Diceros bicornis minor: one gene and its partners. The protein of the gene in region 1 purifies or fractionates together with the protein of each later gene. This does not show direct contact. Links are inferred from orthologs where the notes say so. Each region holds a gene or a part of one and is shown in the gene's direction. Other genes may lie near its edges.

Evidence for each region. The genes of interacting proteins can lie anywhere in the genome.
Region 2: the proteins of DBN1 (region 1) and HOMER1 purify together in Homo sapiens (co-immunoprecipitation; 3 studies listed by BioGRID and IntAct, counting the BioPlex papers as one, with this or other methods). This does not show direct contact. The link is inferred for Diceros bicornis minor from reciprocal best matches to the Homo sapiens genes DBN1 and HOMER1.
Region 3: the proteins of DBN1 (region 1) and TMOD1 purify together in Homo sapiens (co-immunoprecipitation; 3 studies listed by BioGRID and IntAct, with this or other methods). This does not show direct contact. The link is inferred for Diceros bicornis minor from reciprocal best matches to the Homo sapiens genes DBN1 and TMOD1.
Region 4: the proteins of DBN1 (region 1) and HOMER3 purify together in Homo sapiens (co-immunoprecipitation; 3 studies listed by BioGRID and IntAct, counting the BioPlex papers as one, with this or other methods). This does not show direct contact. The link is inferred for Diceros bicornis minor from reciprocal best matches to the Homo sapiens genes DBN1 and HOMER3.

What each region holds. Positions count from the first base shown.
Region 1 is NC_080740.1:90,682,907-90,690,128, reverse strand, and holds the start of DBN1 (drebrin), read left to right. Parts: upstream 1-4,221; 5' UTR 4,222-4,290; coding exon 4,291-4,655; intron 4,656-7,222. UniProt on the Homo sapiens protein: Actin cytoskeleton-organizing protein that plays a role in the formation of cell projections. Required for actin polymerization at immunological synapses (IS) and for the recruitment of the chemokine receptor CXCR4 to IS.
Region 2 is NC_080740.1:8,252,241-8,259,452, reverse strand, and holds the start of HOMER1 (homer protein homolog 1), read left to right. Parts: upstream 1-4,195; 5' UTR 4,196-4,988; coding exon 4,989-4,993; intron 4,994-7,212. UniProt on the Homo sapiens protein: Postsynaptic density scaffolding protein. Binds and cross-links cytoplasmic regions of GRM1, GRM5, ITPR1, DNM3, RYR1, RYR2, SHANK1 and SHANK3.
Region 3 is NC_080767.1:7,812,073-7,819,902, forward strand, and holds the start of TMOD1 (tropomodulin-1), read left to right. Parts: upstream 1-4,813; 5' UTR 4,814-4,866; intron 4,867-7,830. Other genes in the region: TDRD7 (tudor domain-containing protein 7), read left to right, coding at 621-841. UniProt on the Homo sapiens protein: Blocks the elongation and depolymerization of the actin filaments at the pointed end. The Tmod/TM complex contributes to the formation of the short actin protofilament, which in turn defines the geometry of the membrane skeleton.
Region 4 is NC_080759.1:6,480,437-6,487,957, reverse strand, and holds the start of HOMER3 (homer protein homolog 3), read left to right. Parts: upstream 1-4,504; 5' UTR 4,505-4,645; intron 4,646-6,200; 5' UTR 6,201-6,268; coding exon 6,269-6,282; intron 6,283-6,362; coding exon 6,363-6,519; intron 6,520-6,766; coding exon 6,767-6,898; intron 6,899-7,521. UniProt on the Homo sapiens protein: Postsynaptic density scaffolding protein. Binds and cross-links cytoplasmic regions of GRM1, GRM5, ITPR1, DNM3, RYR1, RYR2, SHANK1 and SHANK3.

The sequences.
Region 1 (7,222 bases):
TGAAAATGTCCTGAGGCCAAGTCAGCTTTGATACCTTCCTTGAGGGCGAGCCCCAGTGGCCAGGGTTCCACGGCCAGGGTTCGGTTACTGGGCGTGGACTACACTGCTCTGTTAGTGGCCATGCTGTGCTGGTGGCCCACATACTAAAAAATAAAGGAAGATTGGCACAGATGTTAGCTCAGGGCGAATCTTCCTCAGCAAAAAAAAAAAGAAAGAAAGAAAAGAAAAAGGAAAAAAGAAACCTTCCCCGGGCCGGCCCTGTGGCTTAGCGGTTAAGTGCTCGCCCTCTGCTGCTGGCGGCCCGGGTTCGGATCCCAGGTGCGCACCGACGCACCGCTTCTCCGGCTATGCTGAGGCTGCGTCCCACATACAGCAACTGGAAGGATTTGTAGCTGTGACATACAACTATTTGCTGGGGCTTTGGGGGAAAAATAAATAAATAAATAAAAATTATTAAAAAAAAAAAAAAGGAAATCTTCCCTGAGAGGTGTGGGGGAGCACAGTACAGGAAGGTGGGCATGGGAGGGAGGAGGGCGGGGCTGCGAGGAGGAAGGGAGTGGGTTCTCACTTTCTAAGTTTCCATCCAGTTACATTTATCCTCACAACATGTCGTCAAAGAGGCAACTCAGACAGGGAAAGGGTTTTAGCCAAGCTCTGACAGTAAGTGACCAGCTTCTGGATCTGAATTCTCCTTTTTTCTCATCTTTTCTACTCCAGGACCCAGAAGCCATTGGACCAGCCACCCAGTGTGGGGGGAGTTCATGCTCTGGAGGTGGGAGAGACCTGATATGTTAGCACCAGAAGGGTGATCAGCGCTGGGAGTGGTAGATGTGGCGGCCTAGTGGGAGAACCTCCAGGAGGCACCCAGCACCCACCCACCAATGCTGAGTGTGTGGGTTTCAGGGGCAGCGGATGGCTGAAGGGAGGCAGGTTCACAGAGGACAGAGTGATCGGTGGTCACCCTGCTCCCACCCGGTTGAGGAAACTGAGGACTATGACGGGGCCACTGAATTTGGCAATTTAGGGGTCACTAGTGACTTTGGCCAGAACAGTGCCCGGGACAACAGGGGAAGGAGGAGACAGATTACAGATATATAAATTATCGGATGAAGCCAGTATAGAGGGGCAGAGTGAGAAGACCAGAAGGAGCAGGTCTCAGGACGTGGAACAGGGGACCCTCTTGCTCCCCTGAAAATACAGAAAACTGTGGACGGGGCACATAGGGACTCTGTACTGTCTTTGTAATTTTTCTGTAAGTCTAAAACTGTTCTAAAATTAAAAGTTTATTTAAAAATATAGATGGCAAAGAGGTGAGAATGGGTGTGGCTGGAGAGAGTTTGTAGGTGGCTAGGGGAGGCAGGAACTTGAGGGAGGGCGAGTGTGCACTAGGGCTTCTGTTTTTTGGTTGCAAATTGAGTGAGCAGGAGGCTGGGAAGGTGCCGGGAGGGGAAGGTGGGGGGAGTTCTGAGCCTGGATAAGTCACAGGAAGCAGGAAGGGACTGAGGCCTGAGACCCCTCTACCTACCCCTCCCTGGTACCCCTCAGCCCTGCTATGGGGTCCCCTTCCTCCTCAGAATCCTACTGACTCTGCCTGGGCCTTGCTCCAGGTGGGGGCCGTGGAGAAAACGCCAGGGCCAGGGGTCCACGGCATGGTGGGCGCAGAGATTCCCCAGGCAGAGGCCTGTAGGCTGTTTTGAGTTTTAAGAGGTTCCTCTTACTGCAAAACCCTGGGAACCACTGCTGGAGCTCAGTGCACACACTGCTCTCCTCCTCTTGGCGTGGCCCATCACCCAACTCGGAACTCGGAGGCCCAGGGGGACTCCCTCCTCCACCACTTCCCACACTGGACCAGGTAAAGCTTGCTCAGGTTCTGTCACCTCCCCGGGGAGGATGGGGGTGGGAGGCTTCTCAGAGCTGGGAAGGGTTTCGGGGGTCCCAACTCAGCAAGGAGTGGAGAGGTTCCAGGAGGCCCTGGCAGTGCACATTCTCCCTTCCTCAGCTCCTCAAGGAGTTGGCAGTGGTGCCAACTCCTCTGCAGGGGACTTCTCTGAGGCCCCAGAGCCTTCTGTGCTCAGAGCTTTGGGAAATAAAGGTGCTAGGAGGCTGCCCTGGAGTGTCCTTGGAGGAGTCCTGCCTGGGGAATCTGGGGTTAGATGCTGCTTCCGGAACTCTACTTGGGATTCCTCTGGGAGGCCTGAGGCTTGGGAGAGAAGGCAAAGGATTTCCTAGGCTGGTCCCCTGTGAGAGGGCCTAGGAGGCAGCTAGTAAGGGAGTTGGGGCTCAGCATAGGGGTGGGGCAGGGAAGGGGGAAGAGGTTGGGAATGCTGGGGTAATGAGCTGGGTTGGGGCTACGAATGGACAAGGAGGCAGGGATGGAGGGGTGTGGTTGAGAGCTGGGATCAGAATGGGAACAGGATAGGCTGGACTGAGGAGGGTGCAGCTAGGGATGGGGTATGGTGAACCGGTGGGGGTGCCTGCTAGGCAAGGGGTTGGGAGTGGGGCTGGAGCTGGGATAGGAAAGAAATGGGGCTGGATTTGGGGTGGGGACACAGATGGCGGTGAGCAGTGATGGGGATGGACTAGGAACGGGTGGAGACAGGCTGCAGATTGGCCAGGGGATGCTGGTATGTGAACTGGGTTGGAGCTGGGGGTTGAAATGAACCAGGAATGGGGGTGAAGCTGGGATGGAAAGAAATTAAGCACGGAGTGGGGCTGGGCCGGATTGGAATGAAGTGGATTTGGGATTGGAACTCGGGAGCTGGAAAGAGGAGGGGTGAAGCCGGGCCTGGATAGGGGTGGGTGAGGTGGGGACGGGGCTGAAACCCCGGGGCTGGGGAAGAGGGTGAGCGCTGAGGCCGGGGACAAGGTAGGTGAAGGTTTGGGACCCTGGTGAGACGGGCCTTGGAAGCCGAGAGGCTGCTCCGCCCGGGGGGGCGCGCAGGGGCTGTGGGTGAGGGGCACGGGGGCGCCCCGGGGCAGGCCGGGAAGGGGGGGCGGGCCTCCCCCTGGGCCGGGCCGGGGCGGCGCTAGGACCGGGCGCGCGGAGGGAGCGAGCCGGGCGGAGCCAGCGCCCCCCGCCCCCCGCCGGCCGGCTCCCCTTCCCCCGCCCGCTGGCTCACTCGGCTTGCGGCGCTGCAGAGGCTCCGAGGCGGTGGCGGCGGCGACTCCCTCTTTTCCTCCCTCCTCCTCTGTCCGTCCGTCCACCCGCGCCTCTGTCCGTGCGGCCTCGGTCCGGCCCGCAGCATGGCCGGCGTCAGCTTCAGCGGCCACCGCCTGGAGCTGCTGGCGGCGTACGAGGAGGTGATTCGGGAGGAGAGCGCGGCCGACTGGTGAGCCCCCCGCCCCCGCCCCCCGGCCCTTTGTCCCCGCGCCGCCGCCGCCGCGCCTTTGTTTCCGCGCGGCCCGCCGCCCCGTAGCCGGGAGGGAGGGGAGACCCCGAAATGGTGCAGCGGCCCGGGAGGGCCGGGGAGGGGCTGCCTTTGTGCGCGCCGGGGGAGGGGCCGGCCGGGCGGGACAGTGCCGGGCCCCGAGCGCCCGGAGGCGGCCCCAGTCGCGCGGCGGAGCCGTGGCGGGATGCGGCCCGGAGAGACGCAGGGTCCAGATGTGTGGCCCGGGGCCGCGTGGCCCTGCGGGAGCCCCTTCCCCGCCCCCTGCCCCCGCCCCGGGCCCGGGGGACAGGTGTGCACGGGACGGCCAAGGGCACCTTCGCCACCTTCGAGCGGGCGAGGACCGGGCGGGGATGGGGCGGGGACCGAGCCAGCGGAGCCAGCGCAGCCTGCCTGGCCCAGCCCGGCCCGGCCGCAGCACAAAGGAAAGCCAGGGCGGGGGAGGAGCGGGGCGGGCTGGGGGCCGGGGCGCCCCGCCCACCGGGGGGGCCTCTCCGAGTTGGGATGTGATGGAAAGATGTTCACTGCCACATGGCAACCGCCAAGTGACTCCTGTTCCCCTCAGGGGTCGCGGGGGAGGCAGGGATGAGTCCTCCTCTCCCCGATCTGAAGGGGAGTGCAGGGACGATCTGAAGGGGAGTGCAGGGACGGATCAGCCGGGCTGGGTGATGCCAAGGGGACCCAACTGCCTACCTCGCCCGCCCACTGGGGTCCCTGAGAGGAAGCCGTCAGGCACAGAAATGTGGAGGGAGCCCCCAGAGAGGGATGAGGGGGTGAGTGGATCCACTGAGTCCCTAGCTCCATCACCCAGTGTCAAGGGGCTCGTGGCTCTCTGGTGAGGGAGGAGCTAGGCTGCCCTCTTGCCGCTCTCCAGCTGTTGTCTCCCCTTGAGCTGTGGGAGGGGATGGACTGCCTGCTCTGGAGCCGGAGTCCCCAGGGTGGCAGGAGAGCCAAGGGGTTCCACATTGCTCCATTCAGGAATCATCTTCCCCTAAACACTCTTGCCCTGGGGCAGGTGTCCATTCTGTTCCCTAGGCCCCCTCTTCTTCTGGCAGGCAGGAAACTGAGGCACAGAGTGAGGGCAGGTCTGAGGAACCTCCCTTGGGCTGGCCTCACCCTCATGCTGGGATGGCAGTCAAGTAGGGATACTGACCTGGGGGCTGGAGGAGGGGACAAGATGGCCAGGCGTCCATGCCACAGTACTGCAGCACTGGCGGGCAGCCAGGCCTGGAGGGATGGACGCCAGAGACGAGCTCTCATGTCTTGCAGGTCAGTCATGAGAGAGGTCAGCAGAGGCTAAGCGGGCAGGCGGCCCACCCATTGTCCCAGCCCTGCCCCTGGGGGGCTGAGATCATGGGAGGAGTTCAGGGTAGGTAGCCAGCTTGACCTCATGGAGGAGCTGGCCTTGGGATATGGGCCCTGCCTGGAGAGAGGCACAGCCCACCTCAGAATACCCCCCTCGCCCTCCAGTATGGTGGGCACTGTCCATCACCGCCCCATTTCCCCCTGGTGGCCCATGCAGGGTCGTACAGCCACTGCTGGCCCGCATTCTGCTCAGCAGAGGCCTGGGCTCCCACCACCCAGCAGCATCCATGTGGCCAAAGCGAGTTATTCATCAGTAGTGTACGTCAACCCCCATCTGGGTTGTGTGTGGGACACACACACAGATGCACACACGCACCCTCACACATACACACATTTGCTCACTCCCAAGGGCCCAGATAGCATTTCGTGAAAAGGGTGTGAGGATCACATCCTGCAGAGGGGGCTTGAGTGCCTCCAGCACCCAGCACAGAGCCAGCAGTGCAGGGGGTCTCAAGACTCAGGGGCAGACTCTACATTCAGAGGCTGCAAGAGGGCGTCTTGGGTAATATTGCTGTCTGGACAGAGGAGGCTTGGCACTGCCCTCCCTGACGTTGCCTCTGAGTGGGGGTGTGGGAGGGAGCTCACTCTGAAATGGACCACTGCCCTGGCGCTGGGGGCGGGGGACCCAGGAAGTCAGGTTTTATAGTGGGAAGAGCCCGTGTCGCCGTGGACGTGATACGACTCGCTGTGTGACCACACACAAGTTCCGGCTGCTCTCTGGTCTTCTTGAAAACAGGAGGAGGGGGTTGGCTCAGCCATCTCTGGGACAGCCGGGGCCCTTCCAGCCCTAACGTTCTGAGTGTGATTGTCCTGAGGGGTCTGCCTGCTCTCAGCACCCCCCATCAGCTGACCCAAGGATCTTCCTGCTACATTTTGGCTCCCCCCACCCCAGTCCAGTTTCTCTGGCCTAGGATGGTTTCTCGGAGTCTGTGTCAGTATCACAAACACCTACTGCTGCTGCTCTGGGCTGGCCCCAGAACCCAGAGAGTGATATGTTGATTGATGGGGTTAGTCATCCTGCCTTCACGAAGCTTCCAGTTGGAAGCGTCTGTCTCCAGGAGTGGAGCTAGTGAGACATAGATTCCAGGGCCCCCATCCTGATTCCTTGCGGTTTCACCAGCTCCCACCCTTCCAGGCCCAGGCTGCCTCTGATGTGTTTTCTGAGAAACATGGGTCTAGTGGGATCTGGGGTGGGCTCAGATGCCCCTTCCTGTCCCTGCTAGGGTGTGGTAAGTGCTCTGGGGAAGGGGCCGCTCAGGACAGGGCTTCCTGGGGAGCTGGTATTGGGTTCCTGAGGGACTTCAGCCAGGGGTGGGCATGGGGTGCAGAAGCAGGTCTGGCCTTCCTGAATATGCAAAGGCTTGAGGGTGGGAAATATCCAGAACTGTGTTCGGGATCAGGGAGCCATCCAGTGTGACTGAAGTATGTGGTGTGGATACGGACATCTGGCTGGAAAGGCAGGTGGGGCAGAGCTCAGGGTTGAAGGCCTGTTGAAGGATTTGAACTTCGCTATGGTTTCCACCAGGTAAGGGCTGTGGCCACAGCAGGGAAAGGTAACTGGAGGTGAGGAGGCAAGGGTTTAGAATGGAAGGGCAGGGCAGGTGTTCCTGGGAGGAGCCAGGCCCACAGAGAGGCTGACAGTTCCGCTCAGGGAGATGGGATGTCTAGAGCAGTGTCTGGGAACCAGGGTCTCTGAGTTCTGCCTCAGTGTCTCATCTCATCTGTGGAATGGAGAGAGGCAGACCCTGCTTCTCTGAGAGCCCTTTGTTCCCAGCGGTGGGCTAGGGCAGCCGGACAGGTGGTGGGACAGCTGTGCTGGGAAGCAGCTGCAAGGGCTGGGGCCCGGGCAACAGTTGGACCAGGAGCCTGTGGCCCCACAGCCCACCTGTGTCGATTTCAGAAGAGAGGGATCCTGAGAAGTGGGAGGGCTGGGGGGCCATTTGACTTGTCCTGATCTCATGGGGCTGGACCAGGCCCTCCTTCCTTCCTTCCTCCCTCCCTTCCTTCCTCCTCCCTCTTTCCCTTCCTCCCTCCTTGCTTTCTCCCTTCTTCCTGCCTCCCTCTCCCTTCCTCCCTTCCTTCCTCCCTCTACTTCCTCCCTCCTCCCTCTCTCCCTTCTTCCCTCCTCCCTCTCCCTTCCTTCCTCCCTGTACTTCCTCCCTCCTCCCTCTCTCCCTTCCTCCCTCCTCCCTCTCTCCCTTCCTCCCTCCTCCCTCTCTCCCTTCCTCCCTCCTCCCTCACTCCCTTCCTCCCTCCTCCCTCTCTCCCTTCCTCCCTCCTCCCTCTCTCCCTTCCTCCCTCCTCCCTCTCTCTTTCTCCCTTCCTTCCTCCCTCTACTTCCTCCCTCCTTCCTCTCTCCTTTCCTCCCTCCTTCCTATACCCCTTCTTCCCTCCTCCTTCTCTCCTTTCCTCCCTTCCTTCCTCCCTCTCCTTCCTCCCTCCTCCCTCTCTCCTTTCCTCCCTCCTCCCTC
Region 2 (7,212 bases), about 82 Mb from region 1:
AAGAGTAAAACTGTCCTCAAGCCATCGTGTTGGAGGTGCCAAACACTTCTACTCTCATCCTTGAGACCATTAACTAGCCTGTTTCTGTTCAGAACATTATTGGTGATAACAAAAGACGGTTGTAAACAAGCCAAACACATTTTACTGACATTCAGTATCTGCTGTGTTCTGGAGCAAGTGGGATGCCTTTGGAGAATCAACCGGATAAATTCTGTTTCCCTACAAATCCTTCATTCTTTTCTTATCACTACTTTTAGTCTTGACTGCTTATTTAGTTTCTTCCTAACTGTGTGGCATAAACTAGGAATCTTGATATTTCTATGTATGCAGAGATATCTTTTAACTTATTATTTCTACCTATGACTTTATTTGAAGCAATAGTGGTATTTTGGTAATTAAAAAGAGGGAATTTGAAAGGGAGTTGCTATTATCTAATGTTAAGCAATTAAAAACAAAATCTGGCTTTAACCCTCTTTCCCGCAAAGTTTTTCTATCTCCTGGATGTCTTTTCATTGAAAAAGAGATATCTCATGACCAGTCTATGAACACCCCATTGCCATCTCCTATTAAGGGCACGGAAGTAAACTCTGTAACTAAAACAGATGCCTTCGCCCACAGGTTCTAAAATCAGAGGATATTCATAAACCTCTCCACAAATTTTCACAGTGTAGTGGGAAATAGGAACTGTTAAAAATTTGAAACTCTACTAAAGTACTTTCTGCCTCTTCCGGTAAAAGAAAATATATTACTTTCTAGGAAGCTCACTACTTGAAAAAACATACAAAGCAATCAGGGTTGGAAATTCATGGCTTGCATTTGGGTTACATGAGCTCAATTTTAGAAGAAAAGATATTTACTTTTAGATGGAAAGTCATAGAATGGTTCTCTGACTCCTCTCAAAATTGTATTGGAATTGTTTCAAGAGAAGAGAAAAGGCACTTACTTTATTATTTTTTTTCTGAGCAGATATTCCATGATACATGTTTTATTTATTCCTTTGGGTACATAGACATATGTATTCCCTGATATACTAATCCCACACAAGCTAGAAAGAAAAATTGACCAATTATTGGTAGAATTTTCTAGATTAAGAGTGGAGGCTGAAGTTAAATAATCACATAAACCTTGAGTAATTATATCACAATGCACAATTCAATTTATATAGAAAAAAAGTTGCTCTCAATTTTCAGTCAACAAAAGAGCAGTTGAGAAGAAATCATGTAGCTTTGAAAAGTAGAAACTCTAATGAAGGGTCACCATTCTAAAAGCAGCTGATGTGCTGTTTTGACAGTTGGGTAAAGATGAGGGGGAATAAGACTGTAAACCAGAGGAAGTCTTGATGAAAGGGTAGAATGAAGTGTTTGAAAATGGTAAAGTGAAAGCTTTAATTAACGTGGATGGAAAGAGCAGGAAAGAGAGAAAAGTGATTTAGTTCAGATAGGAAATAGTTTGTAGAGAAATTTTAATAGAGTAATAATTTGTATTTTAATTTGCAAGGGCCAAAGGGATGACATTATTTGAAAAATGACAGTTTTATTGTTTTAATATTTTATACATAAGTAAGAAGCTCCATTCATCTGAAATATAAATCAGTACTATTAATACGATAGTATATGTTAAACAAATTAGCAAGCAGGGGTTTGCTTTTGATTAACTTTTGTTATAACCTTTAAAAAAACTACTTTCAATATTTCAAATTACAAGCAAGATCATGATTTTATAATGTGAAGATAACCAAAAAGCCTGATTTAGTTGCAAATCGGTCCTAACTCTTTTGGCTAGTGTCCTTTAATCTTGGACTCCTAACTCAATCAAGAAAATGTAGATGCAGAAAGTTGAAAAACCAAATTTTTTTTTAACCACAAATGGTATAAATTCGGTGGAGTTCTAGCTTCTTTTATTTAAACTGTTCTGATATCCATTTATAGCTCTCCTAACAATCATTTTATAGATTGGTAATCCTATGTCCTGGATTTTCCAGGTCACTTCAGATTTCATGTATTTGGTTTCTTGTCAAATGATGTGTCCGGATTTTGGTTTGGAAAACGTGGTCCCTGAATTTATAGACTAACTGTGAAACAGCGATGGCCTTTGGCATTATGTAATAATCGTATTTCTGGGTCATGATTATCAAATTAAATCAAATCAAAGCTCATTATTTGAGTCTACCTAATAATAAACTATCAAAATAATGACATTTTAAAACTTTGTAGAAATTTGCAATTTGAAAAGCATTCATAATATGATTTATTATAGACACAAACACACACACACGGCTAATAAACCTATAAAAGGCTACTCACCCTTGCCATATAGGAAATGAAAAACAACATACTTCAGAGATACAGTAATTACATATTACATGGTCAAAGCCAAGGAAGACAAAAACAATCTAAATGTGCTTGTGTTAATATTATAAAAAGGATTTGGTGGTCTTTCTTATTTTTAATTTCCATAGACTGGAACTCATATTCTCTATAAACCTGAACTGAGAGGATATATACTGGCATTTGCTATGCGTGTAACAATAACCACGAGTGAACTTTCTAAGATTGACTTATCCTATGCCAAAACATTGCTGTTTTGCAAATGAAAACATTTAGATGATTTGATGCCCCCCTTAATTACTATTCTTTATAACATTACAACATTTGTTCATGGCTCCGCTCTTTATCCTTCCGTGATTTAGGTAACCACTAAGCAGAAAAAAAAAAAAAGTTTTAAAATCGACTGCGTCCGGAATGGCATTTAATGTCTTTCGAAAATTAAGGTGATTTTCCCCAAGTCTTGTTGGAAACCTATCTACCACTAGTGAGCAGGCTCTCCTCCCACATTTCCGTGCGAGTTGGGACTTGAGAAGCCCGCGGATGCTGCTGCAACAGAGGTGGGAGTGGAAGATTCGATGTCACCCGCTTGACACTTCAGCAGTGTTGCTATGAATGATTCACTTGTGTTTGGCACATTTGTTGCAAGGAAATCTCCTCCTCCCGCCGCTTCCTTCGCCGAGCTCCTCTCGGGCTGTCTCCTGTGCTTTGGCCTTTAAGCTGAAGCGAGAGCAGGTGGGCACAGAGCAGCTCGCGGACTCCTCCTCCCCCTGCTCCTTCCCTAATTTAGCAGTACTTCCGGCCGCGTGACATCATCCCCCGCACCCCGGTGACGTGAGCGGCGGGTGACGTGTGTGCGGAGAGAAGCGCGCTGACGTTGCTATTTAAAGGTCCTCCTGCGGGGAGGATGGAGACACAGCGCGAGCACCTGGTGTGGGGTGTGGAGGAGGCAGTGGCGGCCGGGAGCGGGGCCAGAAGCCAGCGGAAGAGCAGAGCGCGCGGGCCGCCCGCCGCCGGCCGCTAGGGGAGGGGGGAAGGAAGGAAAGAAGGACGGACGGACTGACGGACCTGCCGGCCGGACTTGCTCCCCTCGAGGGCCGGCTGGGCCGCTGACCACCAGCCTTCCCGCCGCCCGCGCGGCTGCCGCTCCCTCCCGCTGCCCGCAGAGCCCCGCCGGGCATTCGGGACGGGTCGGCGCGCCAGCCCCCGGCGCCCGGCCGCGGCTCCGCGGGGCCGGCCGTCTCCCGCCCCCTCCCGCGAGCAGGGGGAGGGCCCGCCCCCCGCTCTCCCCGCCCCCTGCCCGCCCGGCGGCCGCGCTCGCCTCCCGCGGGCGGCGCTGACTGGGAAGTGGCGCGCTCCGCTCCGCGAGCGGCCGGTGGAGGCGGAGGCAGCGGCGGCTCCAGGCCGCCTGGGCCGGCGCTGCTCTGCCGAGCGGGAGCCGGAGGCCGGGGGAGGCGGGCGGTGAGGGAAGTGTGAGGCGGCGGCGGGGCCCGGGGACTGTGGCGGCGGCGCGGAGCGGGAGAGGCGAGGAGCAGGGTGGGGGCGCTGGAGTAGCGGCTCTCCCGCGGCTTCGAGCCCCGCGCCCCTGCCTTCGACGCGAGAGTAGCCGCCCGCCTCAGCTCGGGCGGGCGCCCGTCGACCTTCCCGCCCCGTCCTCCGCCGCGGCTCGGCCCGCCCCGGAGCTGGGGGCCGGCGGCGGCGCGCGGCTCGGCTCTGTGACTCATTCATTCCCCGCCGACGGGAGCCTCGGACCTGCGGTGCTCCGAAGAGAGGAGGGGAGAGGGGCCGCGGCGAATGAAGGGCCGGGCGCGAGCCAGGCTCCATTGTGCTGGGCGGCGGGGGGCGGGCAGGGGCTGAGGGAGGGGGATCGCGCCCCCGCCCCCCGCTCCCCGGCGTGCGCGGCGCCCCCAGCCTGCTGCCAGCCTGGAAATGGCTCCGTCTATTCTCCTCGGGAGAATGAAGCGATCCTGCCCAGCCTGCTCTTCCTCCTCCCCACCGCCTCTCTGCTCCGAGTCTTAGAAGGGGAGACGTTTCACAGACAGACTCCAATGTGGAGTGCCGTGCACGTCGCGAGCTGCAGGGTTTGCACTTCGAGGAGATTTTTCTACATCGCTTTTTCTAATGTGAGCGCAGGGAAGCAGTGGCATTACTGCTTTTAGGATTTTTATTTTCTCCTAGGGCTCTCTAAAGTGCACGTCGCATTGGGTTGCACGCTCCACCCCCAGGGACCTGGGGTGGGAGAGAAATCTGAACCCGCAGCCTTAGTAGCACCGAAAAGGCCGAGTTACCTGCTTCTCTCTGAGTGTCGAGGAGGACATGAGCGAAATGACCACCGAACTCATTTTTTATAGGACTCGGTGAAGCTGGATTCTGCGCTTTACGACACAGACTCATTTTGTGGAATAGAGTTGACCGCTGTCTCCTCCGCGCAGCATTTTAACTCCAATAAGCAAATGCCCCCTCTGTTTGAACGTTTTGGTATTTACGAGGGAGAAATCATTTTACCTAAGGGAACTAATTGAATTGTCAGCATCACTGAAATACCTCCAGAAAAGGATCTCGGGGGGTGGAAAAGCGACTGCGAAATAGCAGACGGAGAAATTCCTTTGGAAGTTATTCCGAGCATAAGAGCAGAAACTTCAGAGCAAGTTTTCACTGGGCAAAATGGGGTAAGGATTTTTGTGTTTAACACAGCTTCGAATCTGCTTATGTATGTGTGTTATTGAGCGGTGGTGGCGATTGTCTGGGTTTTGTGTTTTCAAGCAAATTCCACCTTGCTAAGCTGGTCGTACTTGAAAAATATAGGTGTGTTAGCATTTTAACAAGTTATTTTTGTAGAGTGACGCCGGAAGTCATAATGAAGGAACATACGTATATCGTTTGTAACCAGAATATAGTTTTATTAGTAATGTGTAAGAAGACAACACAGTCTGCACTTTACTGGTTACACTGCCGCATTAGTTTGTACTCGAAATCGTGTTTTAGGTTTTGTTGCTGATATCTTTCAAAGAGAAGTACTGCGTTCTCTCAGTACTTTGAGAAGAATCAGTTGCACAGAGGAACAATTGTACAGTAATGGGTGGTTAGACTACAGCCCTTGAAAATGATCCAATGTAAATTGTTGCCCTTACGGTGCCCTCTATTTTGCCCTTGAATACCCAAAGCTAAAATGTGTAGAAGTGATTTATTGGAGCATTAAAACGAAAATCTGAAAGTCTTACTGATGTGGTCTGCACATGGCCGATGCACTTGATAGGAGATCAGAGCTTGAATAGGAAACAGCTTTTTGTTGAAGGAACTTGGTCACTTTTTCTGTTTTTTGCTTTTAAGCTCAAGTCTTCAATTTGTGTTAACAATGTCAGATCTACACCTTCTTTCAAATCCAAAGTCAGCCAAGAGTGCATTTTCCAACCTTTTATTAACTCTTCACACAATAACTTAGTCTTCCTAGTTTAAACCAGAAACCCATAATATATTAATGGAGTAATGATCTGGTCATTTCATTGACCGATTGTCAATGCTTTTTGTCGAAGAGGAACTTCCAGAATTTTCTTTTCTCTCTTTTTTTTTTTGTAGTTGAACAAACACATCTAAAGGGACAGGAATTGAAAGGATAGACTCTGAAATTCACTGTGACAGTATAAGGGGTGTGCACACCTAAACTTTCTTTCTGGAAACTTTCAGAGGAAAGTTCTTAGATAGTATTACCTTTTGTGTTGGAGTTAAAATTTGAAGTTTATTAACTTGAACAAATTTGAAAATGTAGATATTGTAGGAGCCCTTGGTCAGGAATTAAGGAGAAAGAGCGATAATTGTTTTTTAAACTTAAATGACAAGTGATGAGAATATATATAACTTGCATAATTTGGGATGCTGCTGAGAGCAGTTAAAATACCTCATTCTATTTCTAGTGCTGCTATTAGTAGCTTGGTGATCTGAGGCAATTACTTAACCTCTGTGGACTCTGTTTTCTTATCTGTAAAATGAAGGAGTTAGGTGAGTTTAACAAAATTTTGTAATCTGTAAAAGTGAATTCTTTTCTTTTTCTCCTCCTTTCTATTTTAATGATTACTAGTTGGTTTGAGGTAAATCTTTCAGATGGAGAGATTGTTTTCTCTAAGCAGTTTTTAAGCACGTAAGCTGGAAAATAATGGCATTTGAAAAATGTTTTGGATGAGTTGCACCAATTTTAATGAGACAGGATACTGAAAAATACTACTATTCAGAATCTTTGAAATATGGCTTCCTTTAAGAATCTGCAGCTCTTCTGTTTAAAACATGTCAGAGCAAAAAAAAAAATGAGGTGGCAGTTTTTCCTGTCGAAGGCTGCATTCTCTCTAGACTGTGGAATAGTAGCATCGTGGAAGAAGATTGGTTTTCCACAACCTTTAAGCTGCATGAATGCCCATCATTTTACCAAGGGAAGCTTGGGATGAACTTAATAACAGGGAGACTGGTGTTTAAAATATGAAAATAAGCTGCCACACGTAGCAGCACATTTTAGATACTTTAGGGTAATTAAATTTGTTTATAAACTAGTATATTTGCCCTTAATAAAGCCATAAAGGTGGACTGGAGAGGAAACGGAGTGTTAAAAACATTATTTTTCTGAAAGTCTATATTTGGGGCTATGACTTTCTCATTGATAGTGACTTGTTTCATCTGAGTTGTCAAGAGAGGATGGGTAGGTGGAACTAGAAGAGAAGGGCATGCAGAGAAGGCATTTGTGGAAGTTTCCACACTGGGTGGGTGTTTATGCCTAATAAATGTTTGCAGAATAAGCATAGCCTCCTGCACCCAGTTTTACCCAGGCAGTCCTAAATTACCTTATTCTGACGAGTATCTAAAATTTAATATTGTGGGTGAAGTGTTTCACATGTCATTAATA
Region 3 (7,830 bases), on another chromosome or scaffold:
CATGGGGATTTAGAAATGCATGGGACTTAAAATAAACGATAATTAAACCGAGGCCTGAGAGATCAACTGATTTGCCCAAGATCACACCACTTGATAGAGGAAGAGCAGGGAATAGTAACTGAGTCTCCAGACTTTCAGTACAGTGCTTTACCATGATGTTGTATATAATTTTGAAAAATTAGTATACTGGAAGTATATCAATTCTTTTTTTTTTTTTTTTTTTTTACTATACCTGGTTCGTCAGGAAAAAAAATCTGTAAAAGAAGTGTTATTGATATAGTGATATTTTATTCCCCCTAGTTATCTCCATTATCAGTTTAAATCTGCATATACTTTATGTAGGGGAATGGGCAGTAGTTATTATAACTTCATTTTATAACACAGCATTAAATCTCAAATGAAACTTGTGTCTATAGGTAAAGGCTTACAGAAGTATCCCTGTTCAGAATAGAAAAAACTATAAGCTGGACTGCTTTAAGATTATTCAGCAACTGTTTTTCAGTTAGGCAAGTCTAATCTGCTATGTTTAAGCTACTTTGGAATTGACTAAATAGTTTTCCATTATAATGGATCAAAGAAAAGCTCATTTGACCCCTCACTACTCCTTGTCTTTCTCATAGGAGTGAAGTGCAACCAGTGGTCTGAGGAGGCTTCGATGGTGTTTCGAAATCATGTGGAGAAGAAACCTCTGGTGGCATTGGTGCAGACAGTTATAGAAAATGCTAACCCTTGGGACCGGAAAGTGGTGGTCTATTTAGTGGACACATCGCTGCCAGACACAGATATCTGGATTCATGATTTTATGTCAGAATATCTGGTAGAGCTTTCAAAAGTTAATTAATCACTGCTTCTGAGACCTTGACAACTAATTCAGATTTTTTAGCAATAACAAAATGTAGTAGGCTTTAAAAAAAATCTTATCTCTGCTACATGGCTCTGACTGCTGTGAGGGATTGAAAAGAATATGCTTATGTTTGATGAAAGATATTTAACAAGTTTTATTTTAACAGAGTTGACTTTTCAAAGAAAATTGCACTTGAATTATTACTATAATATTAGAATTAAAATGTTTATCAATATAAAAACTGACTACCTTATAATTTCTAGGCTTTATGATCTTAAGATGAAGAGTTTCCCTCTCTATTCATGTTGTCTTCCTTCCAGTGCTGGGTTCTTCTCCAGTTAGAGCGAGAATTTCATGACTTAACTCTACTCTGGTGTAGTGGTGTATCCCAGAGCAAGTGGTCCCCAAACCATGTGAAGACTATCCTGAGTCTTGAACACATGAGCATTGCTAATAGTGCTGCTAGAGGAGCAGCCCAGGCAAACCAGCATGCCCCTCACCCCAAATCTTGAGTGGCTTCTCATCGCCCAGAGAGTCCAGACCAAAGACCCAGCCTTCCCCCGTCTCCTTATCCAACTTCAATGTCCACCACTCCCCGCACCAGCTACACTGGACACTTACCTGGTCCCTGAGCCCCAGGCATGTTCACCCAGGACAACTGATATTCTAAAGCAAGCCTTGCTCCCCTCCAAACTATGCTTGTTCTATTCCCTCAGCCTGCAAATCATTCTCCCCCATCCACTTTTGTTTGTCAGCCTCCTCGCTGACCTCCTGGACTGGCCATGAAGCCTTCCTGGTGTCTGTCCTACTCCACTGTACTTTAAGTATGCCTCTCTTGGTGCCCAGATCTCACTGAGCTTTCTAGTATATAACTGGTTGCCTCTGCACCAACCACCCCAACTAGATTGTGAGCTCCTTGAGGGAGGAAGAGGTCTTAGTCATCTCTCTAGCCAGTGAGGTACTGGTGGATGTTTGACAACTGGTTCTGGTGGGTGTGGTGGGGGAGTGAACCTTGATTTGTAGCGTCTGACGATTCCCAATTTGTAAATACTCCCACTATTGTTGAGTTCCAACAATGTGACATCTCTGTGGAGTTGGGAAGAGAGGCACCCAAGCGGCTCTTGTGAGCCTGTACAATGGACTCCAACGCCACCCTCTGTATCCTCCCCAATACACAGAATGATTTCTTGCACGTGTCAGGCACCCATATGTGCTTGCTAATTGATGGGCAGGCTGGAGCGACAGCGGGATGGGTTGGAGGCATTAGCAGGGATCCAAAGATGAGGCGGGGAGGCCCTGGACGAAGAGTGGAGCAATGGGAATGAGGAAAAACATTAAAGGCTTTTTGAAGTTTTTAATTAGAATTATTAGAGCTGACATCTTAGATACAGAAGATAGGGAAAAGGAGGTGTCGAGGAGTGAAGCCAAGTCTTAAGGTCTGAGAGGGCCTTAGGATGATGACCCTTACTCAGGTTTTGACTGGGAAGCTTAAAATTTTGAACATACTGAGTTTAAACTAATAGACCTCTGTGTGAAGATACGCATAAACTATTGGAAATATGGAGTGGATTTCAGGGGAGAAGACTAGGCTAGAGATAAAAATTCTTAAAGTCATTATTTTTATTTGAGAAAATATAGGAAAAGTGAGAACAGAAAGAAGGTAAAGACAAGATGTTTTAATTTTTTCATGTAAAAACGCTGAAATTATCTTTCTAGCTTTTTAAAATTTGTATTTAATATTTATAATTAAAGTGATCCAAAATTCAGGAATGCTTATGCCAGTGACTTAATCATTTATGATAAAAATATCCTGACACATAAATGTTTAAGTGAAATAAAGTAGTGTAAATGTTTTTTATAATGGTTTCTCTCCCTAACAAAAAACAACAAAAATCCTCAAATTATCTATAGATAAGGAAGAGGTGGTCTCTATTTCATTGAATAAAGCAATTAATTATGTTGTTTGTGTAACTGAAAAATTAATCTGGTGCTAGGACAGTTTGGCAGACAGACAAATGAAACTTCACCCCGACCTCATGCCATTTTCAGAAGTCAAGTCCAGGTGGATTGAAAGCCTAAACATGAAAGGTTGCTGTAGGAGGACAACATAGGACAATAGTACCTCTATAATCTGGAGTAGGAAAGATGTCTTAAACAGGACACACAAAGTGCTAACAATAAAGAAAAAGAGGGATATACTAGAGGACATTAAAATGAAGAACACCTGCCCATGAAAAGACATGATGAAGGCGAAAGGCACAGCACAGAGGGGAGGAATATCTATATCGTGGGAAAATATGCTGTATATAGTCAATAAACAAAAGATTCTCCAGAAGCAAAATAGGCAATACATTTCAACAACCACTTCACAAAAGAGAAAAAGCAACTGGCCAATAAACTCGAAAAAATGCTCAACCCATTAGGACACAGGGACATGCAAATTCAAACCTCAGTGAGACACCGGGACTCAGGCACCAGAATGGCAAAAATGTTTCTGTTTTTGTTAATTCCTAGCGTTGTTGAAGATGTCTGCACTTCTGTAGGAGGGTGCTGGTAAAGAAGCTTCACAGCAGCACTATTTGTAACAGCTAAAACCTGGAAACAACCCAAATGTCCATTAATAGTAAAATGGACTTTTGCAAAACTGGTATATTCATGCAATGGAAACCTCTGCACCAATGAGAGTAAACCAACTACAGTCACATGGAACAGCATGGATTAGTCTCACAACATGGAGTTGAACAAGTGAAAACAAACTGGAGGAGAGAGGAGAGCAAGGAGGTGATTACCATCAGAGTCCAAGTGATCACGTTTAGGAGGGAGTTGTGACTCAGAGGGCAAGGCTGGCTCCTGAGCTGTCCGCAATGTTGTTTCTTGACTGAGTGGTGGTTGCAACAGGTGTTCTCATGATAAGAATTATTGACCCTGCACACTTATATTGTATGCACTTTTCTTAAATGTCTGATTCCACAACAAAAGCGTTTAAAATAAAAAACCTAGAATATTAAATCATTGCTTTATTTTAAAATATATGGCACATACCCCTTGAAAAGAGCATTCTCTTACAGCTGGGAGGGTTTTGTAATGTAGGAATATATTTTCATGGAAAACAAGATTTAAAAAAAAAAAACAACCAAAATCAAGGGTTTCCCATTAGTAATCTATCCACCAGGATTAAAAAGAGTTGATATTATTAGGGTCTACCCCACCAGAAACTTTCCCACAATAATCCAAAGAGACTTTACCTTCTGTCCATACAAAGTGCTTTTTATGAGCCATTTTTAAAATTAAAACACTTAAGTTTCTGTTTGGGTTTAAGTGGTTTGTTCTGGCAAACATATTAGCCGTTTAAGACAGTGGGACGTTTTCGTTGTGGTTAAGTTGTTGTTTTGGACACTCCATTCTCTGAGTGCGAGTGCGTTCGGCTCTGTTGGAGCTGCGTGTTCACAGATTGGTCGTTGTTAAAGCTCCGGCTCCTAGCGCACTAGCTGGGCTGCTGCCAAGAGGGGACGGGCCGTCGCTTCAGTCGCAGGAGGGAAAGGTGCAGCAGCCGGTCGGCTGGCTTTGCTCCATCCAAGGTCCTACCGATTCTTACATCCTAGACCCCGCGGGTATGAAAATCCGCCCACCTTTTTCCAGATAACTCTACCGTCGCTTAAACTCCTCCTGGTACAAGTGGAGACACCGAGACAGACTGGGGGCAACCCGCACCCACTTGGCCGCGGAGCCAGGCTTCGGGGCGGCCTGGCCCCTGCCCCGCGCTCCCCCAGCGGGTGTCGCTCCCCGGCCGGGGACGGTGTGCTGCGCCCCGGCGCCCCCGAGTGGAGGGAGAGGTAAGGAGGGCGAGGGCGGCGGCGGGGCGGGGCGCGGTGACAGCGCGGAGCCGGACCCGCCCCTGGCTCCCACCCCCGGAGCCCACAGCGCCCGCCCGCCGCCCGCCCGGGAGCTCCTCCAGCCCCGCGCTCCGCTCGCCCGTCCACCGGCCGCCCGCGCCCGCGCCAGCCCCGCGGCTCTACGGCCCGGTAAGCCCCCCACCAGGCCAAGGGTCCCCCTCGCGCTCGCGGGGATCCCTGCCCCCGCGCCGGGGCCCCAGCCATATCTGGGCAAAATATTCAGCTGTCGCCGCCGCCGCCAAGAGGGACTGAGCGTGGCTCCCTCTATAAATAGCCGCCGCCTCGGGTTGCCTCCAGCGCTGGGGAGTCCGGGTGTCGGGGTCCGAGCCCGGCGTTCCGGTCCGTGCCGCCCCGCGCGCCTGGCCCTGGCCGGGGCGCCCTCCTCTCTGGACCCCGGCGCTGCGTCTGTAAACGGGAGAAGGACCCGTGGGCTCTCGAGGAGCATCGCAGAGGGCCGGGGTCCTGGCGGAGAGGGCGCCCCCGCCGCCCGCTGGACTCCAGCGCGGCGGGGCTCCGCGCCACCGCCGCTCTGCTGGTGCAGGTGCCGGCCCGAGCCCGGCACGGAGGCGCGGCCTCCCTCCCCCTGCGGAGAGTTCGGGGTGGGAGTGGGGGCGGACGCGCTCGGGTGGACGTGGAACCCGGGTTCGGGCTGCGCCTGTTGTGGCAGGAAAAGTTTCCCAAACTGCGTGAGATGGCGAGGTGTAAAGCACCACGATACGTGCGTTTCGCGCCGAGGTGGAGCGAGCAAGAGCCCGGAGGCAGGAGCCCTCTCGCTCGCAAACTCACACGGTGGCCTTGGCAAGCCCCCCCCCCCCCCCCCGCTTCTCTGGGCCTCGGTTTCCCCGTTTGTAGGGGTGGGGTTTGGTTCTGGCAATGGAGCTAGGAGCCGGTCGTGAGAGCAGCGGGGCGCGCTCTTGACCGCTGGCGCTCACCCCACCTGTTCCCGGCTCCGGGCCTGGGACTCTTGGGGCACAGCCGCGCACGTCCTGAGGGGTGGTGGAAACCGGAGACTTGGGCGATCGCTCTGATCGGGTCGTATATTGGGACCTACTAGGCCCCTCGGAATAGCCTGGGTCGTACACCCCCAGGAAGGGCGTCCCCGGGTCATTATGGGCGTCTCTCTGAGTGGCAGCCATCACCTTCGCAAAGCAGCGTGTGACTCAAACAGCTTTAGACCCGATGAACTGGGCCGGGCCAGAGGCTCCAGCCCAGCCGCTCCCTGGCCTCAGTTTCCCCGTCTGTATAGTGCCTATGATGCGGCCTCAGAGCCTTCCTGCCGTTCCTGACCCTGCACTTGGCCTCGACCTTCGCCCTCTCAGACTCTTGGAGATGACCCGGCCCACGCGTTTCCGTGTCCGAATTACAGAACCAGACTCTAACCCAGGTTCTGGCCCCTCAGCGGGAGCACCCTGAAACTCCCCGTCTTTCTCCGGGTGGTGACAGCCATTTTGTTCTCCGTGAAGGGCCGCAGAGCCCCCTGCTCAAGGTCACAGCCGGTGGACTCCCCAGGAGGTCTGCGGTCTCCAGCCTTTCTCAGCTCTCTCCTGACACTTCCTGCTGGTCAGACAGGTCTCGGGGGCCTGTGAGCACCCCACCAATGCACCTCCTCTCTGATCTGCAGCTGTCCAGGACTTCCCCTTGCCTGGACAATAGCGCCCTCATCCTGAAGCTTCCTTTCTGCTCTACTTTACTTTCTATTAGTCTATACTCTCTAAAGCCGTCTCAAAGCCTCACAGATAGAATTAAGAGGAAACGGAGACAAATAGCAAGGTTCTCATTAATTTGAGCCACACAACAAGCAGGCAGAGAGTGAAAACAAGGAACCCTGTCGCTTCGTGTATTAGTTCTCTTGACTGAGCCAGTCTTGCAAACTCACATTGTAGATGGTCTTAGCCCTTGAGTTCCCCCCAGCCTAAGTGGAGAGCCAGTGTCCTCTTAAAATAGCCTCCACCCCACCTTATCAGAGCCTCACACCTTCTCCCTCCTCCAGGGTAGGGCTGCTTCCTGCAGCTCAGCGAAAACACAGAAACAGGGAGGACGCAGCAGAGCTCTGAGTAACAGGAGGTGGACTGGCCTGGAGGTTGGGACACCTGCCTCCAGCCCCAGCTCTGTCACCCACTTAGAGTGACCTTGAGCTGTGAGGGGGTGCACAAGGTCGTCTCCAGTGGACCTGGAATCCAGAGGGCTCCGAGTTTCCCTTGGAAGACTTTCTGGCATGAGAAAAGTGAAGGGACGAACTCCAGGGGAACGCACCCTGTGAAGGGGAGAGACAGAGTGGAAGAAAAGTGGCCTCCCAAGAGCCAAGGGAGAAGAGAGGTCGGCAGTGCCGTTTGCTGCGGAGAGACAGAGGGGATGAGGGCTAGGGAGGGGCCTCCAGGATTGGCAGAGGGTCATGGGTGACTTTAACCAGAGCATTGCAGAGGGTTCAAACATGGGATCTGCCCCTGCCTTACTGGGGCCAGTGACCCAGCCTGTCTGACGGAGCCTCAGTTTCCCCCTCTGTACAATGAGGATAATAATAGCCCCATTTCATAGGGGATGCTATGGGGATTGAGTGAGATGATGCAGGGAAAGCCCTCAGCCCAGTGCTTGGTACCTGCAATGGTGTCATTAGGTTTAGTGAGGGAAGAGGCAGAAGCTAATGGGAGCCGAAGCCGTGGAGACGAGCCTACAACTCTTCCACAAGCTCGGATGAGGAAGGAAGGGCGAGGGCAGGTAGCAGGAGCTAGAGGCAGGGCACAGAGAGGAGGCAGGTGTTTCTGGGATGAGGAGTGTGAGAAGAGAGGGAGGAGGCTCCGGGAGAGGGGAAGAGGGTGAGAGGAGACTCCAAGGGGTGCGCACAGCCCTCCTTGATGACCTGCTGACTGCCCTGGGCTCGAGAATCACATTCCCCTAGAATCCAACTGAGCAAAGAAAGGGTAAAATGAAGCCGGTCCTGGCTCAGACCCGAGTGTCCCCTTGGCAGTCTTCAGTATCCACGAAGGAGGGTGATGAAGGGCCATGAAGGGTAGTTTGCCTCTGCCCAGGGGCCTCGTGACCTTGGCTTGCTTATTTCTGAAATGACATCATCTATTGATGACTCTTGCTGAGCCC
Region 4 (7,521 bases), on another chromosome or scaffold:
AAGCCTCAGGCCTCTACCCGAGATGGGGAAACTGAGGTTCAGAGAAAGGGAGAGTCTATCCCCATTCTGCACATGTACAGACATCTAGTTCTCTCCCAAGAGCTGAAACCCTGGCCTGGAGCCTGAAGTGTAAAGCTGATCACTTCCCTCTCTCTCTGGCTCCAAACTCTCCCATAGCTCCCCAGCACCTAGAGAGGTGAATCCTAACTCAGAACAAAGCCTACACACCTCACCACTGCCCATGAGGTCCAACCTGGCTCCTGTGACTCCCTTAGCCCTCAGTGCCCCCTACTCTCTTCCCACTCACTCTGCTCTGGCTATCCTGGCCTCCCTGCTGTTCCTCCAAAACACCCAGCCCATCCTTGCCTCAGGGCCTTTGCACATGCTGTGCCCTCTGCCCAGAGCACTCTTTGTAAGTTATTATCTTCATTTGATCCCTCAGGAAAGGTGCAAAAAGAGAAGGTCACGTGTCCAGGAACATGCATCAAGTTGGTGGGAGTGAGGTTTGCACCCTGGCCCTCTCCCACCAATGGTGCCACGTTTAAAACAGGCCTCCAGACCAGTCCACCGTGGAGCTAGATGATTCTCAGCCCCTCCAGGTCTTGCTGCCTCCAGGTGGGTGCCAAAGACCCTCAGGCCTCGGGCTCAAGTCTCCCTGCTCAGGGAGCTCCTGGGCCAACCCGACTGACCCCCAAGTCTCCCAGCGTCCCTCCTGATGTGGCCGCAATTCTTTTGCCCCACTTTCTGCCCTTCACGCAGGCAGATGGCAGAGCCCTCAAGGACGACATAGCCAAAAATAATCGGGCTCCGACCTACCTCCCCAAAGTGGGCCAGCCCCGCCCAGCCACCTGGCACGGTGCAGGTAATTAGTGCATGTGGCAAATGAGGGTAATTAGGTCTGTGGGAACCGAACCGCAGATCCAGGTCCGGAGTTTGGAGGGGGCTCGAGGATGGCCTCCCCCACCCCCAACCCGCCCTGGTCCTGGGAGCTCAAGTCCATAACCCAGAGCCAAACCCTCCCCTAGCCCCTTCATGCCTGGGCCTGAGGGGCCTGGCTCTGTCACTTCCTGGGAGCTGTTTGTTTAATGAATTAAACCTGGCCTTGGGTTGGATCTAAATTTAAGGTGGGGTCCCTGTCAAATGATAAAAACTCACCAGTATTGAGTCATCGAACTCTCCTCTGCCATGACCCCAATGTGTCCATCCAATGCTGGGAGATGCCAAGCCCGAGGGAAGCCAGGCTTCCTCAGTGCCTGCACACTTCCAGGTGCCCTCAGGCTGGGGGTCAGAGCTGAACACAGACGCCACCAGGCCTTTGGGGTCAGGGTTTGGCCAGAAGGAAGGAGGGTGTTGGGAAGAGTCCAGAGGGAGAGGAGGGAGGGCTTTTTGGAGAAGAGGGCATTGGAGGTAGGGCTTTGAGGGATAAATAGGAGTTTTCCAAGAGGACAAGGTCTGGTGGCTGGCCCAACTGACGATGCTGGGGGAAGGGGGAGAAAGAGGAGGAAGATGGCTGGAGGGGCACAAGCGCCTCAGAGCTAAAGATTTAGAGGATATCATGCCAGGTTGGACCCATTTCTGTCCTCAAGAGTTCATGCCTGGCTGGGACCCTTCAACTCCTAAAAGAGAAAATCTTAAGAACTCGGCCCAGGATCAATACCACATGCTGGACAGCCAAGAATAAATACAATGTTTATAATGGCAAGCATTTATTAAGCTCCTAGAGTCACGCCTCTTCACGCAAGGACTCCTTGGATCCTTACAGCAAACCTCAGAAGTGGGCACCATTCTTATTCCCATTTTATAGATGGGGAAACTAAGGCACAGAGAGGGAAAGTGGCTTCCTTAAGGTCACACTGCTGGTAAGAGGCAAGGCTAGGATTCACTCCCTGGCTCATGTGACTCTGGACCACCAAAAACCAAGGCTGGGGCCTAGGGCTCCTCGCCTTCTGGAAGCATTTACAGAGTTCCTGCTGTAGGTCAGACTTGCTCTAGGTGCTGAGCCGTGGAAGAGGTGGACAGTAACCAAATCACACACAACAGGTCTAAGCGGCCACTGTGACCTGTGCCACATCGTTGGGCAGGTGGCTTTGGGAAGAGTGACAGACTTACCCTGATTTGGTGGGACAGCAGCTCCCCAGAGAGGACAGACGATTTAGCTTTAGTCCAAAGGTTGGGTCAGATTGAAGTAGGCAGAGGACAGAGCTTGACCCCTAAGAGCCACTCTGCAAGGGCAGCTTCCCTAGAGCAGAGCAAGCTGTTCCAGTCCCTGTTTGGTCCCTCCTGTGACAGGGAGCTCCTTCCCTCATGCCTTCCTCAGCCCCAAGTGAACGCTGTTGCTTCTAGCCAGCCACCCTGTGGTGATGGCCTCTGCCACCCTGCAAGGACATCCCCAGGCAGCAGAGGGCTCAGGCTGCAGGGGGCTGCAGCTCAGGGCAGCCCCCACCCATCGATACCCAGGGGACAGTGAGGAGCTGCTGCTGTTGCCTGGCTCCTCCCTGCCTCCTCCCCCACCCCCAGCCCTGCAAGCATCAGACCATTGTCCGGGCAAGAAAACTGAGATCCACACTGATAAAGCCGTTCCTTCAGTCTGGACTTGACTACGACAACTTCAGGTCAGGGCTGCTCAAGGCTAGCCCTGTCCCAGCCACTCCCAGAGGTCTGAGAGGGGGCCCTACTCTCCCTCATGCTGTTGCCTTCTGCCCACATACGCAGGAAAGTCTGCCCGGGCCCCTGGCCTAGCCACCCCCAGAGAATGGCCACGTGGCCCCAGCTCTGCAGCCGGCCAGCACTCAGCACATCCTGAGTGGCTTCCAGAAGCCTCGACCCTGCCGGCACCTTTCCAGTTACTTTTTTTTTTGGTTATTTTTTTGGTAATAAGGAAAAGTCACTCTTTGCACAGAACAGACGGTATTTTCTTTGTTCCCCACAATGTTCAAGCATTTTGTGGCTTTGGGCCTGAGAGCGAAGCCAAATCCTTTGTCTGTGCAGATGCCTTGTGAACTTAGAAGCAGCTGGGGAAACTGAGTCTGTGCCTCAGTTTCCCCAGCTGGGGTAAGCAGTCCCTCTCGTGCCGGGTGAGGCTGGGGCTCCAGGACGGGTTGGCCCTCCAGGAGTACCCAGAAGTAATAACCAGGTAACACAGACCAGGGATCCCACAGAAAGGGATGGGGTTGTGAGTAGGGGAGGGTGAGATCCCTTCCAAGCCTGGGAGAGTCAGAGAAGCTTCCAGGAGGAGAGGGGGCAGCGGAGCTGAGCCTGGAAGGAAAGGAAGAATACATGCCTGTGGAAAGAGCACTCCATGGGGAGGAGACAGCTTGGGCAAAGGCCTGGAGGGAGCAAAATTCAGACCTTGGCCTGGGAATAAGTCTCCAGAAACACCAGGACCTGGAATTCCCTAACGGGAATATGAAGGCAGCTCCTAGCTCAGATGTGTGGTTCTTGTCAGGAGGAACAGAAATAAAAGAACAGGGAAAGGGGACAGGGGCAGAGCAGATGAAGAGCAAAACCCCTAAGGGTGTTGGAAAGCTCAGACCTGAGGCTCAGAGCTTCAGGGAACTGCGGGCCGGTTCTGAGGAGCCCCGTGCGCTGCCCACCAAGCAGACGACTCTGTGTGGCCCCAGAGGAATCTCCGGAGAAAGGGCAGCCTCGCGACTAAGTGGGCCCCACAGGCAGGCTGGGGCCTGGGGAGGCCGATTCCGGCTCAGCTGCAGAAAGAGCCTCTCCTGGCAAATGTATGAGGGCTGGGCTCCTCCAACCAGAGGTGGAAACCCAGGCCCGCAGACCTCCAGGGGATTCACCCATTCGGTGGGAACTGGACACCCACCTTCCCTCCGCCCTGGATTCTGGGACCCTGGGATACAGCGATAGTCATCGTAATCTAACCATCACTAGCATTGCTACAGTGGTCTCAGGGGAGAGAGAGGCAGACAGAAGCCTGAGCCTGGGGGATCAGGGCTGGGCGGGAGGGCAGGCAAGAAGGATTCTGAGCAGGGCACCCAAGATCAAGCCCCATTAAGTGTCTACTGGTTGCTTCTCTCAGCCTCTTCCCGCCCCCTCTCTGCCCAGGTCTCTCTCATTTCCTGGCAACATGCACTGAGCACCTACTGTGTGCAGGCCCTGCACCCACCAAAGTGGCAGATGTGCCTCTGTCCCTGCACGCCCCTCAGGTGGACAGGGACCTGACTCCCATCAGGGGCAGAAGGCAGCAGTGACCTGGAGTGTCGGGGTCACCCTTGACGAGAGAACGAAGCCACATTCCCCACTGTCCATCTCTGTCTGTCTGTCTGTCGTCTCCTGTGTCTCTGCCCCCACCCCCACCCCATCCTTCTTCCCCACCCTATCCTTCCCCACCCTGAACCCCCTCCCCCGCGCCGCGGAGGGCCGGCAGGGGGCGCTGCGGGGCGGCCTCGGGGCCCGGGGAGGCGGGGCGGGCGGCGGCCGCGTCGGACCCGCCGCGATGGGACCGGAGGCGGCGCGGGCGGCGGCGGCGGCGCAGACAAAGGCGCGGGCGGCGGCGCGGAGGGCGGCGCGGAGGGCGCGGGCCCCGGAGCCAGCGAGCGAGCGGGGCGCCGGGCAGCGGGGAGTCGGCGCCGCGGGGTCGCACCCGACTCGCTCCCGGACACTCGCGAGGCGCCGAGCCGGCAGGGTGAGCCGGGCCCGCCGAGCCTGCGCGGGGGCGCGGGGCCCCCGAAGTTCCCGGGCCGGGGGAGGGCTCCGGGGGTCCCCGAAGTTCCGGACCTGGAGGCTGGGGGCGGCTCGGGGAGCCCCGAAGTTCCAGGGCTTGAGGGGGCGCCGGGGCCCCGAAGTTCCGGAGTCGGGGTCGGGAAGGGACTGTGCGAGGGCTTCCCAAAGTTTCGGACCGGGCGTTGGAGGAGGCTGCGAAGGTGTCTCCTAAGTTCCGAACCGTGGGTGTGGGGGCGGCACGAGGGGACCCCGGAATTCCCCACCTGGAGATGGAAGGGTGGCAGAAGGTCCCCGAACTTTAGGAGTCGGGGGCGGCGCGGAGGGTCCTCGAAGTTCTGGACCTGGAGTTGGAGGAGGCAGATAATGTGCCCCCGAAGTTCTGGACCTGGAGTCGGGGTGCGTCGCGGGGGTCTCAGAAGTTCCGGGGTCAGGAGCCGCGCCTCCCGAAGTTGGGGCGCGCGCGGGGCGCCCCGCTCCTGACGGCGGTGGGGACTCGATCCTGACTGACTGTCAGGCCCCCGGCACTGGGGCGCATGGGGTGGGGCTTCGCCCCCGCACGCGATTGGGGCTCCCCGGCACCGGGCAGGGTCGGGCCCCCTCCGGGAGCCCCGCGGCCGAGGCGCATGACTAGCTGGTGAGTAACTTTCCCCGAACGCCAACGCCGCAGGTCGCGGCAGAAGCGTCGGTGCCGGAAGGGCCTGAGTTCCTGGGACCCCGGCGCCGGGAGCCCTGCCCCAACCCAGGACCCACCCCCAACCCCGCCGAAGCTGCCGCCCCTCCTCCACCTAGGGGCTCGGGTTTCAGACCCTGTGACCGGGACAGCAGCTGCCCAGGACAGGGCTGTGCCGGGGCCTCCCTTCCCCCCCGCTTTGCCTCCCCCTCCCCCAGGTCCCTCCAGGATCTGGATCCCGCCCGGCCCCCCATGGTGTCGGGATTGAGTGGCATGGGAGGTCTGGCGGTAGGCAGCAGGGTGGACCTTTTTGGTTACATCTTGTCTTTTTAACGAAGCTGGAGGCTTCCTGAGCATTGGACCTTGTCTCTAAGGTGTGCCTCTGCCCCAGAGTGGAAGCTCAGGTCTCTCTCTGAGCCCAGTGGGAGACTGGTTTCCCAGTAGGCCCCTGGCTGTGCCCCACTTTTTGATGGTGCCCTGGTTTGGGGAGTGATGGGTGAATGTGGCAGAAAGTACTGCGCGGGAGTTGGCCTTGGCCTCCTCAGCCCAGCTCTGAGACTGAGGGGGCTTCACTGGGGTCCAGTGACTGGGCCGGTGAGAGGTTTACACTGGGATGTCAGGGGCCCCAGCTCGTCTCAGAGAGCCGTCTCCTGCCCAGGGTGTTGTGGGGGCTTCCTCCAGATGGAGAGAGACCGGTTTTTTGGTTCTGAGTGATCTACTGAGTCCTTCACCTTTTTGATTGAAGTTCTGTGAATGGTGCTCCTGGTGGTGGGTCCTGAGGTTGGACCTGCTTGGCCTCCCTCAGCCTGGCCTGTGGGGGACACTCACAGGCCCCCTCTCCCTCCAGAGGTGGAGCCAGCAGCTTCTGCCATCCCCCTGGCTGCCTCTTGGAGCCCGCCCAGCTCAACCTGACCAATGTCCACAGCCAGGTGAGCCCCCATCTCCACCTGCTTGGCCCTGAGCCCCCTGGGCGGCGCCCAGCCCCACTGAGCACCCTCTCCCCGTGCAGGGAGCAGCCCATCTTCAGCACACGGGCGCATGTGTTCCAGATCGACCCGGCCACCAAGCGGAACTGGATCCCAGCGGGCAAGCACGCGCTCACCGTCTCCTACTTCTATGATGCCACCCGCAACGTCTACCGAATCATCAGCATCGGGGGTGCCAAGGTCCCTGCGGGGCCTGGGTGGGGCGGCAGGTGCCAGGGGTCCGAGTGACAGGCCTGGGTCTGGTCGATGCCTTGCTCTGTGCCTGGAGGAGCCCTAACCCTTTCTGGGCCTCTTCCCTTCATCCTGAAATAGTTCAGAGCAAGGACCTCCGCGGTGCTAATACAAAGTGATAGCCGGGTGGTGGTGGGGGTTTCATGTCCATTGTTACCAGTCCCACCAACCTTGAACTCTGCTCCCCCCTTCCCAGGCCATCATCAACAGCACTGTCACCCCCAACATGACCTTTACCAAAACCTCCCAGAAGTTTGGGCAGTGGGCAGACAGTCGTGCCAACACTGTCTACGGCCTGGGCTTTGCTTCTGAGCAACATCTGACCCAGGTGGGTCTTGGGGTTATGCGGGGGGAGGGACAGGGCTGCGCCTGGGTCTTCTCCTGGGTGCCCTGGGGACCCTGGAAAGGTGCTGGGCCTCCGTCTTCCCACCTGCAGAATGGGCGTACAGAATTGGACAAGTCAGAAGCCCCTCCTGGTTCCCTGGTTCGCGTCTCAGCTCTGCTGGCCGCCTGCTCCGATTTTGCAAACACCCTGCCCTCTCTGGGTGCCTGGGATGGGCTGGGCGCTTCCCCACACACCCCAGCACTCCCTTCGTCATCGCCTCCCTCCACCCCGCGTCCTCTCAAGACTTCAGTCTCGTCTTATCCATTGTCTTCCTGTATGGCTAGCGCCCCTGAGTCCTGCTGAGATCGTGATGATTTTCTTCTCTTTTCTTCTAGAAGCTTGTTTTCTTTTCACATTTAGGTCTTGAATTAATTTCTGTGGGTGGTATAAGATAGGAATATTTTTTCCATGTGAGTATTCAGTTGCTCTTGGACTGTTTTTTGAAAAGACCATTTCCCCCCAATGATTTGCACGGGCCTCTGCACAAATCAAGTGGCTGGATGTCTGTACATATTTTCTTTAAAAAATTATTTTCAAAGGAAGGAAATTTATTTTAAAATGAAAAA